3 linked regions of the Cricetulus griseus genome follow. The protein of the gene in region 3 interacts with the protein of the main gene of each other region in a pairwise test. Links are inferred from orthologs where the notes say so. Each region holds a gene or a part of one and is shown on either strand. Other genes may lie near its edges.

Region 1 (5,375 bases), on a different chromosome or scaffold from region 3:
GGTATTGTTTTCCAGGTTTTACATTAAAATGAGTACTTGGTTTATGTTTCCTGTGCAGGAATGTATAGAAAAGACATGAAAGACAAACTCAGGGTTCTCATAGTCATAGTGGACCGAATTAGCTGCATGGTTTCTCACATATGAGCCTCATTTCCTCATATGTAAACCGAGAGGAGGAGGAGGTTGTTTTGTAGCCTACAGAGAGTGCAGCCATCAATAAATGAGTAGTGTTGCATCATTTACAAAGGCAATGGGAGTAATCACAATGGCTGACATTTCTTGGGTGATGACTTCACATTAGACATTCTTCTAGTCTAAATGTTTTGAGGTATTGGCTTCTTTAATCTTTACAGGAACCCAGTGAGGTGTAAGACTTGGTCATCTCTATTCACAGTATGGGGAACTGAAGCCCAGAGAGACGGAGGATCATGACTAAGGAGATGGAACCTAGTAGAGGTCATGGGCTAATGGACTGTGACTGCTTTCTCTCCAACCAAAGACCTTTGGATGACCTTTATAATACAGCCAAGAAAGGAACCCTTCAACAACTGTTCTAGACTCAGGTTACCATTGATCTCTCCCTTCTGGAGAAGAGCAGCATTTAATCTTTCTTTGTTATAGTTATTGACCTAATGTCCTATTATTTTGGTTCCAAGATTTATTTTCTTTCTACTTCATTATCATCATTTTCTTAAAACTAAAAAATTGGATTTTTGTTATGTTTCATCCCTTACCTTCTAAATTGCGGGTTATGGTCTCCAGGTCATCTTCAGCAAAGGCCTGATTGAAGCCCAGCCGTCTCTTCTTCAGAATCTTCCCTGAGTCTGATGATGCTGCCACCATCACTAGGCTCTCCTCAAAGGTGAAGTTGGACACCTTTGAGGTTTCAGAGGTTCTCAGAGATACAAATTTATCTGTGCAATTCTCATGAAGTGAGCCACAGCTTGCATCGTAGAAGGATTTCTGTAAGGAAGGGAAGTGGCACCTGAGCGCTTACCTATGACCTCATGATGAGACTCTTTAGTAGGGTCTGTATCCTACAGACTTAGTGAGACGGATCTCCCTTCTGGGTGTAGGGAACCAACCTGTGCTTCATCCCTCCCTCCCCTCTCATCCTCCACTGCCCTTCCTTCCCTTCTGCTCCATTCCATTCTTGGATTTCCCTGAAACCAAGGCTGGGGTTGAGGGGGGGTCTTTTCACCCACCTTTAGGCTCAAAAAGAAAAAATTTTAATTAAACAGATTAACATGTGATCCTGGTGAGTGAGATCCTTCTGTCAAAAGGTTTGACATCTATTCCAGAGTACTCAAAATATTTTAAAAAATACTTTTGGCCCTCTGTGTTGCCTGCTCAAATTAAACTAACCTTAAGGTTCAAAATATTTTTTAAACCTAAATCACATTTGTACTAAAATGTGAATCTTTTTGTAATTACTTCCTAAATAATATAATCACTGATTCATAAGTATAACAATTGTTTCTATAGCATTCACAGTGTGGCAGGTGTAGTTTTAAGACATCTAGATATGATTTAAAGTTATTTCAGAATACATGTATATTTTATATAAATAGAAGGTCACTTAATATAAAGGACTTGAACATCTGCAGGAGGTGATCTCCCTAGGGGGCCTTGCAGTCAAGGACCCATGGATACCGTTGGTGTGTCTATTTTTCTGGAAGCAGCTTTTAAAACAGGTATCACAGATACACAAAATAACATGCTGAGTGTGTGTGACGTTTTCCCTTTCTCTTAGCCAGCTTCCTCTCCCTCAGTTCTGTGGGCTATCAGAGAATGATGTCAACATAGCATGTTAGGAGAGGTGTCCAGGTGAGGTGGATTGAAGCAACTGGCTAAAGATGCCAAAACTAACAATTTGAAGGAGCCTGGCCCAGAAGTTCTTAGGGCTTCAGATAACCCTTCTTCTCTGTTATGGAAGAGTCAATGAGCATGAAGAATGCCAGTTAACTATTAGTATAGAGAGGCAAGTGATCTCACTAATAATAAATAAATGTATTTTAGACCTTTAACAAAAGTGTATAATACTCAACCTTCATTTTGCATTTCTGGTAGTATGTAAAAAGAAAATCCAAATCTATAAGAATGATAACCATATGCTTACCTGACTCAGAGAGAGATGATCAAGGGCAGAACTGTATTCTTCATTTTCACTGTCAAAAACATATAAGGAGACTGTATTTTTGTTCATCATTCCACTGAGGTCCGTAGGCATCATATCTTAATGACCACATTAGCTTTTGGTAATACAGACAACATTCCTGAATACTGATTTAGACATAGGTACTATTGAGTCTGAATGCTCTAACACAGCACTGGGTTTTAGTGGCTGTTTAAGAGTTACTTCTTTCTTTGGAGAACTCGATCCCAGTCAGGATGAGAGTCAGCCTTACAGTAACTTGGGCACACGAACACACACACACACACACACACACACACACACACACACACACACACACACACTACTCTTTGAAAAGCTAAAGACTTCTGCATATTCATGTCTACACACATAGTAACTCATTTGTCTACTAATTTGGAGTTAGTAATTATTAGAACAGCTTTGCACTTTATCTGTAAAAATTAGGCATGATTAATAAATCAAAGAGCCTTATTGGACTTCAGGAAAGGCTGAAGCTGCTAAAAGAAAAGAGAAACTTTTGAAGTACTTCAGATACACTTTGTCATACATTGTTTTCACATACTAAAACAGATTCTATATTTAACAGTATTCAAGCACTAGTTTGTAGCTTCATTAGCATTAACATTAATTGCAAACAAAAACATCTTGTTAGTTAAGAATGTTCTAGAATTTCAGCTCTGCTCATTTATCTTCTGTATCAGGGTGAAGTTTCACTGTGGGTATGAGTTCATGTGCCCAAGAGCTGTTTCCTCCTCTTGACTGGGAGCAGGTTCTCCCAAGAATGAATTTTCTCTCAAACAGTTCATTAATAGCTGCTGCTGTATAGAGCATACAAACTCTATCAAGTGCCTAAGTTGATGTTAATTTAAGATTATGTAGGAGTCAGTACACCTCAAAAATATTTTTCTAAATTCCCATTTCACTCAGGGAAATACCACTTTAGCATGTTGGAGGTCTTATCCTTCTAGCTCTTCTCTGGTCTTGACTGGACTTCAGAGCCAGTGTATATCTACAGAGCCTCTGACAACATGGCACTTGACTGGCCACTTGAACACCTAGTTGGAGTCATTGAATCACAAAAAGTAGAATGTGTTTCTTACCTGTAACAGTTCTTCAGGTCTTCAAACAAGTCCGGAACTTTGGCCATCTTGACCTCTACAAAAGAACAGTGGTGGTCAGCTCTCCACCTCTGAACCCCGTGCTTGCAAGGGCAGTGACCCTGCTTCGCTCTTCTTGAGAAACTACAATGAGTGGCTGACTTATCACATGCCCAGAATTTCCTCTATTCTTCTTCATACGCCCTTACATTATTTGTATAAGCTTTGTTCTCCTCTCTTAACTTGTACATTTGTTTTAGAATGTTTTCTCTATCTTGGTATTCTTTGTGTCCAGCCCATTCCATCACACATAGTAGGCATTCAATAAAGGTGAATAGGATAAGGAAAAAAAAAAAAAGGAAAACCACCTGCATGAGGTATCTGCCTTCTATAGAGGCGAGGGAGATAGAGAACGGGAACCAGCATATCTCATTTTTGTCAGTAGAAATTTCCTATCTACAGGAAAAGATTAGGCTGAACTGATGGATTCCCTCCCAGGAATCCTGTTCAGCTGCCCCCTCAGGTCCTTATCACTAGAAAGAGAGCTCTTCTCTGAAATCTGTGATTCCAGCTTACACACCAAATCAGGAACAACAAGAGAAAGAAAGAGAACAGACTATAGCCTTACAGAAGGTGCCTTGAGAGAAGACAGTCAAGGAGCAAACAAAAGACAATCTCCATAGCCTCAGATGTGATAAGGACAATACCTTTGCCGACTCAAGCTCCAATGAGGTGACTCCCTCTCTGCCCTGGAGACTTATGCCTGAGTCAGGCTTCTCTGTCTTTTATAATCATCTCAAGTAGGTGGGGCCCCCGCCAGTGTGTCACTGGGAATTTACAGGAAATAATTCTGCTTTGTATCTTTCTATGTTCACGCAGCTTGATACTGGCCGAAATGCAGCTCATACACTTGGTAATGATGTTGTTTGCAAAGATTCCTTGGGCTGTTGACTTGATTCATCTATTTATTGCTTGTTTCATATGATTATAAACATGTAGTCTTACAAAAAAGGGGAAGAGCAGCAGGAAGTTTACCAAGACACCCAGAGCATTTGGTGGAAGAGGAAGGCAGAAATGCTCAAATCAGAGGGCTGGACTGAGTAGGATGGGCGCTCCGGGGGTATACTTTGTGTTTGGCCTAATTTGTTTATTGTGCTCCAGGACTGAATCTGGGCAGGATAATTGGCAGCTAAGTCATGGCATTTGAGGGAAAATGAGGTTTACCCCTCCCCTCTGAAGAGAAAGGTTTGCTTGAGTAAGTCAGCAGTCTGAGTATGGAATGGCAGCCTTATGGTTAGAGGGCAGAGGTGATAAAAGTGACATTGACCATAAAGATCTGGGCCCTCTCACTCCTTTGAATAATGTCAACACATTTCCCACAGAGATGACAGCTTCAAGGGAGAACTCCCAGCCTCAGTCACGTCATGGTAAAGTGACCCTGCTCCATTACATAAAGACAAGGATGGATCAAAGGTGGGCAAGGATAGCTACCCGCTTCTGCAGACAGGTACAAAGGCCCAGTCAGGACAGTGGCTCAGCTCAGCAATGGAGGCTGTGGGAAAGGAAGGTATGGATTCTTATATATGGACATGGAATCAGCGCTGCCTGCTCATTTTTATTAGAGACATTTTCAGTACCTAAGGCTGGTCCAGTTCAGGTGGTAGAGCACCTGACTTTAAGTAAATCAGGTTTCAACTTTCCTAGTTGGCATTAAAGCCACTCACATTTTAACTAAAGGTAGTGGGTGGTAGAAGAGGAAAGAAAAACAATGGCAGAGGGAGAAAGGTAAGCCACTGAAACATTCGACAAAAAGAAGCATGGGACTAGGAGTACAGTAGTTTATGGGTTAGATGAAGTATCCCCTGTGGTCTTGCTTAACCATAGATAATGGAGCTGTTTAAATGTTCATTGGTTCTATTGCATATGGAGATCCTCCAATTCCAGTTCTGCTGCCCCTGCTCGTGTTGTATTTATAAACAGGAGTCAAAGATGAGTGATATCCTAAATGAAGGCAGAATAAGTGCCAAAGCAGATTGGAGCCGAAGTGTGGGTGTCTCTCAGCATGTCTTATATGAGCATCAATAGCAGCCAGCTAACTCCATATCTTAGTTCCCCTTTAGGCA
Region 2 (3,727 bases), on a different chromosome or scaffold from region 3:
AAGAAAGATGGGAAGGAATGACTTGTTTATAAACCTTTATAACAAATACTTCTTTAAGATAAAAAAGGCAATATACAAGGATCAAGATTTCTTACTGGACCCCTGATTGTCATTTTTGGCAACTTAGCCCAGCCTGGTGGAAGGCAGCATACTATGTGGTCAGGGAGCCTGTGTGGTGTCTCACCAGAGCCTTGCTAACTGGAGTTGTGTGCTCTGGTTCAAAGCAAGGAAGCAGTATCAGCAACAGTTGCACATGCCTTCCCCACATAGGCTAAGGCCTTATTTAAAGGTATTGCTGAAAGGCTCTATCGCCCTGCTTACATTAGGGAGCAGGAGGAGTGGATGACCCCATACATCACATACAAGTTCATCACAATAAAGGCTCCGAGTCCTATTTTGTACTTTGAACTACACCCATAGTAATGGTCAATCCACCTTATTCCAGAAATGTGGTGATACTTTGTTTATGATCTAACAAATAAAGCTTGCCTGAAGGTCAGAGTACAAAACTAGCCACACTAGTTAGCCATAAAAGCCAGGCAGAGGTGGCACACATCTTTAATCTCAGCACGTGGGAGACAGAGACAGATGAATCTCTTAGTTCAAGGCCACCCTGAGATACACAAAATTGATCCAGCCAAAAGAGAAACAGCTCACACAAAAGTGATCCCAGCACTTGGAGTGACATGCCTTTAATCCCAACACTATAGAGGAATAAAAGGCAGGAGGAGACAGGAGCTCAGTACAGTCTGAGTCAGTCTGAGGATGCAGTGCACTCTGAAGACCGAATCACACTTTCCGTCTGAGCATTGGTACAGGTAAGAACTCTCTACTGGCTGGCTGCTTTGCTTTTCTGATCTTCAGTTTTCACCCCAATATCTGTCTCTGGGTTTTTATTATCCATGCTACACAGAAAGTACACCACAATAAGCAACTTTTCAAAGCTGTGTTCTCGCCCTGTTCCTTTTTCTAAACAAGAAGGGTGTATTCCATAAGAAGGGTGTATTCCATAAGAAGGAGAATGACTGACTGTGCAATGCCTGGGTATGATGATGCTCTCTTCCTGTACCCCTTTTCATCAACAATATTCAAAGCAGTTTCTTAATATACAGCATTTGGAAGCATATGCCATATTGGCGCTTTAAAAGATAACATTTTTGGTTCAATAAGAGAAAAATTTGGTAACAAAATATATGTAAAACTAGAATTTTATAATTCCAAATAGTAAGTTGCCTTTATTAACCAAAGTACTTGTTTGCAGTCATTTATCTGAAACTATTTTAAAGCTCTTATAAAACTTGGATTGTGATAAAGTTAACTTAAAAACTTCTTCCCATGCTGCTGGGCATACCACTGCTGTCTCTGCTTGCGATTTTCCAACTCAGTGAGAAGAGCCTGTCTGTAGGCCTCGTACATCTTAACAATCTGCTCCAGTTCCTTCATGAAGAGCAACTTCAGCATTCCCTGGTAGGTGTCCAGGTCAGCCAGCTGGAAGAGCTCCCACTTCAAAATGTGGTCATATCTATCATAAAACATATGTTCATAATACATAAATGTGCATCCACAACAATAAACTGATATTTTTATAGACATTGTATTATAAGTAAACAGCCCACAAGTTTTATTTTAAAATATTTAAGTTAGTAAAACTTGCTATTTAGATAGCCTTTTTTTGTTTTTTTGAGCTGGGGATCTAAGCTGACCTTGAACTCTTGGGCTCAGGATATCCTCTTGCCTCACTCTCCTCAGTAGTCAGGAATATAGGAGCATGCTAATACACATGGTTCTAAATATACTACCTTTCCTCTTCCCTCTCTTTTTAAAATTCATTTACATCTTTTTATGTGTATGAAAGATTTGCCTGCATGCATGTAAGTGTCCTGTGTACATGCCTGATACTCAAGAAAGCCAGAGATTATGTCAGATCCCCTGGAACTGGAGTTACAGTTTTAAGTCACCATATGGTTCCCGAGAACTGAACCAGGGTACTCTACAAAAGCAGCAATCACTCTTAACTGTTCTCTCTCTAACCCTAAGTATATTTTTTAAAACTTGAGAGAATTTTTTAAAGATTATTTTTATGTGTATGGGTATTTTTGCCCACATAATGTGTCTGTGAACCACATGCATGCTTGGTGCCCATGAAAGCCAGCAAAGGGCACTGGATCCCCTGGAACTGGAATTTCAGACAGTAGTGAGCTGCCATATGGATGCTGGGAACTGAACCTGGGTCCTCTGCAAGAGCAGCCAATGATCTTAACAATCAAGCTATCCCTCCAGCCCCAAACACACTATTTTTTAAGGAAGGGGGGGGGAACTGTTAGATATTACTTCAGATTAAAGAGTGCCCATTTAGTTTAAGACTCAGTTTTAATATTAATCCTGGGCAATCATTAATACCAACTCCAGACTATAGTGGTTCTGTAATTTTCTTTTTTTTTTTTTAAAAAGATTTATTTATTATGTATACAATATTCTGCCTTCATATATTCCTGCACGCCAGAAGAGGGCACCAGATCTCATTATAGATGGTTGTGAGCCACGGTGTAGTGGCTGGGAATTGAACTCAGGACCTCTGGAAGAGCAGCCAGTGCTCTTAACCACTAAGCCATTTCTCCAGCCCCTGGTTCTGTAATTTTCAAAAAGCACATCCCATGCCCTTATAAGTTCATACAAAGTTAGTGTTGGGGACTTTCAATACTTCAGACTACACTGTGCTTTCCAGTAATAATGCAGAAAACTGGGCAAAGTCACTGGTGTCCTCAATGCTGACAGATATACATGAGGGACACTGTTTACTACTGTAAACAATGAACCAGAAAAAGAGGATGAATCACTATTTGTAGGCCAAGTATTCTTGAGGAGTAACTACAATTAAAACCCAGGAAAATAGCTTTGGAGAGCTGGCTCAGAGGTAAGAGCATGCACAGCTCTTGCAAGGGACCTGAGTTCAGTTCCCAGCACAGCAGGTGGCTCACAACCCCCTATACCTCCAGCTGCAGGAAATCCAATTCTTTCTTTTGGACTCAAGCACTGTACATATGTGTGCACAATTACATACACAGAATTAAAAATCTAACAAAATTCAAGAAGAACTCTCAAAATGAGAGACTAAATGGGAGAAAAACTCCACAATGTGTGACACGTTCTTATGTGTATCTTGGAAGGCCTCTAGTCTTCCTTTAGGGCTTAAGTGGCTCAGGATGAGTTGGAACTACTAAACCAACTACTAAGGTAGTAACTTAAACTTTGAAAGGGACGAGAACAAAAGGCACCAATCTAATTCAGTTTTCTTATTTGCAGATGAAAAGTCTGAGAGCTTTAAAAAAAACACCTAATTATAATTATCTCTGGCAAAAAAATGCTTAGTGACATAACAGTTTTCAGAAAGGCAGGGTTCTTTGGACCAAGAAGCTTTAGAATTACAGTTTTCAGGGTAAATGTCCATTATTAGAGGAATGTGAACACAGCAAGTCATATACCTATGTTATGTTGACGTCATACCTCAAATCACTGCAGGGCAGACATAAAAGGAAGTTTTAATTACAAATTCTAGTGGATTTAATAATCATTTATGTTCTACCTAATGGGTATATCCAAAAGGCTCACCCATCTAATATACAAATATATATAGCTTCAAAAAAAATAAAAGATACTGAGCAGTTATTGCAAGCTGCCCAGTGCAGCACACGGTTCCAGCTGTTTTGGGTGTGTGTGTCAGGGACAC
Region 3 (5,420 bases):
GGGAAACCTGGGAGTCAAGATCTGGAATGGCAGAGAGATAAAAGCCAGAAGACAGTGGAAGGAAGAAAACAGGACAAGTATGTGAGGAAGAAACTTCTGAGAGAACTTTAGGAGAATGACATGGTAAATGTGCCCTCCCTCTAGACTCACCATTGTCCTCTCTGGCTCTAGAATGGGGAGTCACAGGCCATATATCATCCAACTGTAGAAGAAGCCACACATAGTTGGTGAAAAGACACCTTCTGATCTGAAATCTGAAGGGTCAGAGACCCCAGACTCCTCCTAAGTTCCAAAACCCCAGAAACACTTCCATTCGGGCAGCTTATGTTCACACAGCTTCTGTAGTCGAATATGAACTTTTACCAAATAGGCTTCCTAAAATACTTTCCTGCATCTTCAAGACTGTTTTTTTTTTTCAAGACAGGGTTTCTTATCCTAGAACTCATTCTATAGACTAGGCTGGCCTCAAACTGACAGAAACTTGCCTGCCTCTACTTCCCTAGTGCTAGGATCAAAGGTGTGCACCACCTTGCCCTGCTCAAGATGCCCCCCCCCCACCTTGGTGTGTGTGTGTGTGTGTGTGTGTGTGTGTGTGTTCGTTCCAGGCAGGGTTTTTTTGTCTAGACAGGTTGGCCTTGAACTCAAGGAAATAAGTTTGCTTCTGCCTCAGGAGTGCTGGGATTAAAAGTGGGCAACACCATGCCCAGCCTCAAGACTACCCCTACCTTGAGACAAGGTTTCTCTGTGTAGCTTTGTAGACCAGGCTGGCCTGGGCTCACAGAGATTCGCCTGCCTCGGCCTCCCAAGTGCTGGGATTAAAGGCGTGTGCCACCACAGCCCAGCTCTCAAGACCCTTTCTTAATCAAGAATTGTAACTAGCAATTAAAAAAAGCAGAATATTTACATTTCCCTTTTGTATTCTATGCTCCTGTATTGCAAATGGAAAACAGAAACAAAGGGGCTAGAAAGACGGCCCATAGATTAAGAACACTTGCTTTTTCTGGGGATATCAAGCAGCTCAGAGCTCCACAGGATTCAACAATACCTCAACACTGCAGGCACTCATATGGTACACAAAAAACTCAGACACACATACGCAAAATAAATAATTTTTTGTTTTGTTTTGTTTTTTGAGACAGGGTTTCTCTGTGTAGCTTTGGAGCCTATCCTGGAACTTGCTCTATAGACCAGGCTGGCCTCGAACTCACAGAGATCTGCCTACCTCTGCCTCCCGAGTGCTGGGAATAAAGACATGCACCACCAACGCCCGGCTAAAATAAATAAATCTTAAGAACAACAAACAGCAACAAAAAACCAAACAAAGAAACTCAGGGCCAAGGGAGGCCAGCATGGTCTACATAGCAAGTTCCAGGACAGCTAAGGCCACAGAGAGATCTTGTCTCAAAATACATATATAAATAAAATAAAAAGAGAGGGCAGGGGGCACTATTGCAGAAAACCATAGTGTATAGATCCCAGCATGGTGGTTCTCAATCATTATAATTGGAGTTCCCGGGTATTCGATGCCCTCTCCTGACCTCTATGAGTACCAGGCACATGTGGAGCAAAAACATGCTCCACATGCACTGAAAAAAACAGTCCTACATAAGAAAAAATAAATAAACCTTAGGCTAGGTGTGCTGGCACATTTTAATCCTGATGCAGAGACAGGCAGATCTCTAAACCTGAGGCCAGTCTGGTCTACACAGTGAATCCCAAGTCTCAAAACAAAAAGCCCAACAAAGAAGAAAATCCAGACAAATGCACTAATTAGAGGGGCTAGAATTCTAACTCAACTCTAAGAAATTCCAGTAAGAGTTGTAGTTACTGCACTTCAGGTGCAGAGTACTCACCCTATGAAAAGGTCCCTGAGACCCCCAATCTGGAGCTGGTTTGGGGGATTCAGGTCTTGGATGACTCTCCATGACCCCCTCAAAGATCCTGGGTTGGTGACTGTCTGGGTACTTAAGCATTGAGTCCCGAAGCGTCTGCCCTTCCCGCGGTCTCTCACCAGGTGTTTCTGACCCATGACCTGGAAGTTCTGTAAAAAAGTTGGCTGGTGATACTAGGATAGGAAAGGGCTTAAAACACACAAAATCTTTTTGAAATCAGCTTTAGCATATCCCCAACTACTCTGCAAGGTCCGTATTTCGCTCCCTAACCCAATATTCTCCCTCAGGAGAATCTACACACCAGGAGAGTGGGAAGGCAAGGTCCAGGCCCCCATCTCACTGAAGATGCTATTGAAATCTCGTACTAGATCATCAAAGCCAAAGTTGTCGTGGAATCGCATGCCTTCTTCTGGGCTGAAGTTGAAACCGAATTCCTCCGGAGGCTGAGAACCATCAAACCTATAGCTCCCTCGACCCCACGTGCCTCTGTCTTCTTCCTCTTCGTCATCATCATCGTCATCATCTCGAGTCATCCCTCCGAAGAAGGGATCTCTGTGGCTGAGAGCAGAGGCAGATAAGCCACGAAGATTTCAGCACTGTCTAAGCAATAAAACCAACCCAAGGCCAGTAAAATGGGGACAAAAGGTTGGGGTCTAGGTAGCTGAAGAAAACACTGGAGAGCTCCCTTCCAAGTCAAAACAAAGCTCGTGGATCTATTAGGGTTTTGTATTGTCTCTAATTAGAGCCCATGACAACCCCCGCCCCCCACACCTCGCAAACGCCTCCCGTGGCTTGTCTTCAGTGTCTGACTGCGCACTCCTAATTGCCCCTTAAGGTCCCTCTCACTTGCTCATTCCCCAGGCCCCCATTGTCTTCTCCGCCCAGCTCCCTGTTGCATCACCCCACTCTGGAGAAAGGCACTGTTTCTCTCCTCTTCACACCGCTTTGGTTACTGTGGCGTGGTGAGTACTCAAGGTTGAGATTTCTATCCTCTCAGCAGGAGTTGAAGGGAGCGGGGAAGGAAGCTTTCCAAAAATACGGTGAAGGGGTCAAGCGTCCCCAAAGAACACCGCTTCCTCAGGTCCAGCCCAGAACTACGCTCACCTCCGAGGTCCACGAAAGCCGAAAAAGCCCCGGAAAAGGTCAAAGAAGCTCATTCCTGTAGGTGCCCTAGAAACTTTAAACTTCGGCAGGACATGAGAACCACTCGACTGCCAGCTTGCGCTACCCTGTCAGATACAGCCAGGGTTCAGCATTCGCTGCCGGAAAGCAAGTCTGCAACACGGCATTGTCGTAAAAAGGCCGAAACCCGGAGAAGGAAGAGGCGGGGCTGACGGCGCTCCTCCGACGCGAAGCTTCTTATACGCTACCTTTCAGTTTTGAGTGAGGGTGGGCTTACGGATCCCCGCTGTCCAAGATCACACCCCTTCTAGTGATTCTCTTTCCCGCCCATCTGCCAGTCCCCAAGGGGTGTTTCCGTTACTCTCTGGATGGTTCCAAGTTAGCCGCCAAAGGGAGCGGCCTGTCCCGAGCCCCGCCTGGACCCCGGCTCAGAAAACACCCCCACTTTGTTTGTTTCTAGACTGATGTGACGTCCAACACTACAGGTTGGGAAATGTTTTACTAAGCTCCTTCCAGGGCAATTTCCCTACTGCTGGATAAAGACATGAGGATGCTAGGAATCTCTTCAGCTACTAAGGAGTTAGTTCGGGCCATAAAAATTTATTTTAAACGTGTTTATTCGACACACGGTTTCTCTGCTGTCCTGGAACTCTATAGACTAGGCCTGCCTCGAACTCAAGAGATCCACCTGACTCTGCCTCCCAAATGCTGGGATTATAGGCCGTTGCTACCATGCCTAGCTACTCTTTTAAACTTTTAAAAAAACAGACTACAACCAACAAGGTAAGATTTATACTAGGCAGGGAAGAGTAACTACTGAAGCATCTTGGAAAAGAACAAAGACTCTATAGTTAGAATCAGTGGTGCAGGCTCAAGAGGCAGAGACCGGTGGATCTCAGTATGAAGCCAACCTGGTCTACACAACGAGTTCAATGCCAGCCTGAGCTACATGAGACCTGGACACACCCTCACTTCCCAAGCCATACTTGCAGTTTGGGAAGTCTGAAGCCGAACGAATCTCTTGAATCCTTGGCAATACGGTAAGTCTCAGGCTCTTCTAAAGAAAATAAAACTCCCCTTCCCATGTAATTGAGGTTCAAAACTTTTTACCACAATGCCCCACCACAGGTCTTGCTCTACATCATCCAACCCTTTCCCAGAAATTGGGCATTTCTAAGGCCACATAAAATAGGCAAAGCAGGGTATGGTGTTTGTTGAGAATCTTTAACCTCATCACCTAATAGGCAGAGGCAGGCAGACCTCTGAATTTGAGATCAGCTTGGTCTCCATACCAAGTTACAGGCCAGCCAGGGTCACACAATAAGACTGTCTCAAAAACAAAACTCAAGGAACAAAAACTACTGCAGTCTACTTCTATAAAGGGAAAGCCGCTTGAGCTTTAGTTCTGCCAGCCAACAGATAAAGTTGGCTTCAGACTTCAAAAATCCCTTAAAATCATGCTTATATTCCCAGTTCTTTTCCTTTTAAACATCCATATTCCTTCCCCCTTCACTTCCTGAAACTTGATGTAGTTGAGGCAGTTTCTAGAAGAAAAGTTTTGTAGTGGTTCTTTCCAGTCACAGGATATGAAAGAGAATCCCCCTTATGGGCAAAATATTAGCACATTAAGGTGAGAGTTCTTAAAGGGCAAAGATTTCACTTTATTCCACAGCCTTCGAGCCTGCTAGAAGAGGCCCAGTTGGTACGGTAATACTTATTCACCAAGCTGGTCATCGACGAGAGTGAGGATATCCTAGACGGAGCAAGAATGGGCAGAGGCTGAAGGTAGAGGTTTGTTTTTTTTCTCCTTTTTTTTTTATATATATATGTATATATATACAAGACACATTAATCCATTAAGTTTGAGGACACAGTACAAAAAAAAAACCACTTCAACTAATTCATATGACAATGCTGTTCATATTTATGACGCCATTTGTTTGTGTGTTGTTTGGTATTCCTAATAATAAAGGAGGAGACTTAGGGCTGTTGGGCTAATATATATTTGGGGGCGGGGGTTCACCTCCCCACCTCACCCATACACCACCAGGGTGAATAGGAAGAAGTGAAGGAAAGGCAGGGCCCACAGCAAAGTTTCATAATCTTGAATGCAAAGAGGAAAAGGGGGCGGGGAGAAAATACAAATCCTATAATACATACAACAGGGTGGGGTGGTATAGGAAAGGGACAGACATGAAGCTGAGGTGTGGGATGGGCCGCTGGGGGTGTGGAGCAGCGGAATCGCTCCACATTCTTTTCTCTCTTTGATGCTGTTTCCATAGTTTCCAGGCTGAGAAGCCCTCTCAGAAGATGGGACCGGGAGAAGAGGGTCAGGGCCTCAGTTGGCCCCCCAGCTGTAGCTGTTGTAGGCAGACTTGTTGGTCTGGGGCTTCTGCGGGATGGAGC

Evidence for each region.
Region 1: the proteins of Hax1 (region 3) and Il1a interact in binary tests that used the Homo sapiens proteins (3 or more experiments, as listed by UniProt). The link is inferred for Cricetulus griseus from reciprocal best matches to the Homo sapiens genes HAX1 and IL1A.
Region 2: the proteins of Hax1 (region 3) and Sav1 interact in binary tests that used the Homo sapiens proteins (3 or more experiments, as listed by UniProt). The link is inferred for Cricetulus griseus from reciprocal best matches to the Homo sapiens genes HAX1 and SAV1.

The regions. Positions count from the first base shown.
Region 1 is NC_048599.1:49,260,578-49,265,952, reverse strand, and holds the start of Il1a (interleukin-1 alpha), read right to left. Parts: upstream 3,303-5,375; coding exon 3,256-3,302; intron 2,169-3,255; coding exon 2,120-2,168; intron 964-2,119; coding exon 735-963; intron 1-734. UniProt on the Homo sapiens protein: Cytokine constitutively present intracellularly in nearly all resting non-hematopoietic cells that plays an important role in inflammation and bridges the innate and adaptive immune systems.
Region 2 is NC_048598.1:133,417,705-133,421,431, reverse strand, and holds the end of Sav1 (protein salvador homolog 1), read right to left. Parts: intron 1,523-3,727; coding exon 1,315-1,522; 3' UTR 1,208-1,314; downstream 1-1,207. UniProt on the Homo sapiens protein: Regulator of STK3/MST2 and STK4/MST1 in the Hippo signaling pathway which plays a pivotal role in organ size control and tumor suppression by restricting proliferation and promoting apoptosis.
Region 3 is NW_023276806.1:64,554,076-64,559,495, reverse strand, and holds the start of Hax1 (HCLS1-associated protein X-1), read right to left. Parts: upstream 3,190-5,420; 5' UTR 3,050-3,189; coding exon 2,997-3,049; intron 2,451-2,996; coding exon 2,194-2,450; intron 2,042-2,193; coding exon 1,854-2,041; intron 203-1,853; coding exon 151-202; intron 22-150; coding exon 1-21. Other genes in the region: Ubap2l (ubiquitin-associated protein 2-like), read right to left, coding at 5,353-5,420. UniProt on the Homo sapiens protein: Recruits the Arp2/3 complex to the cell cortex and regulates reorganization of the cortical actin cytoskeleton via its interaction with KCNC3 and the Arp2/3 complex. Slows down the rate of inactivation of KCNC3 channels. Promotes GNA13-mediated cell migration.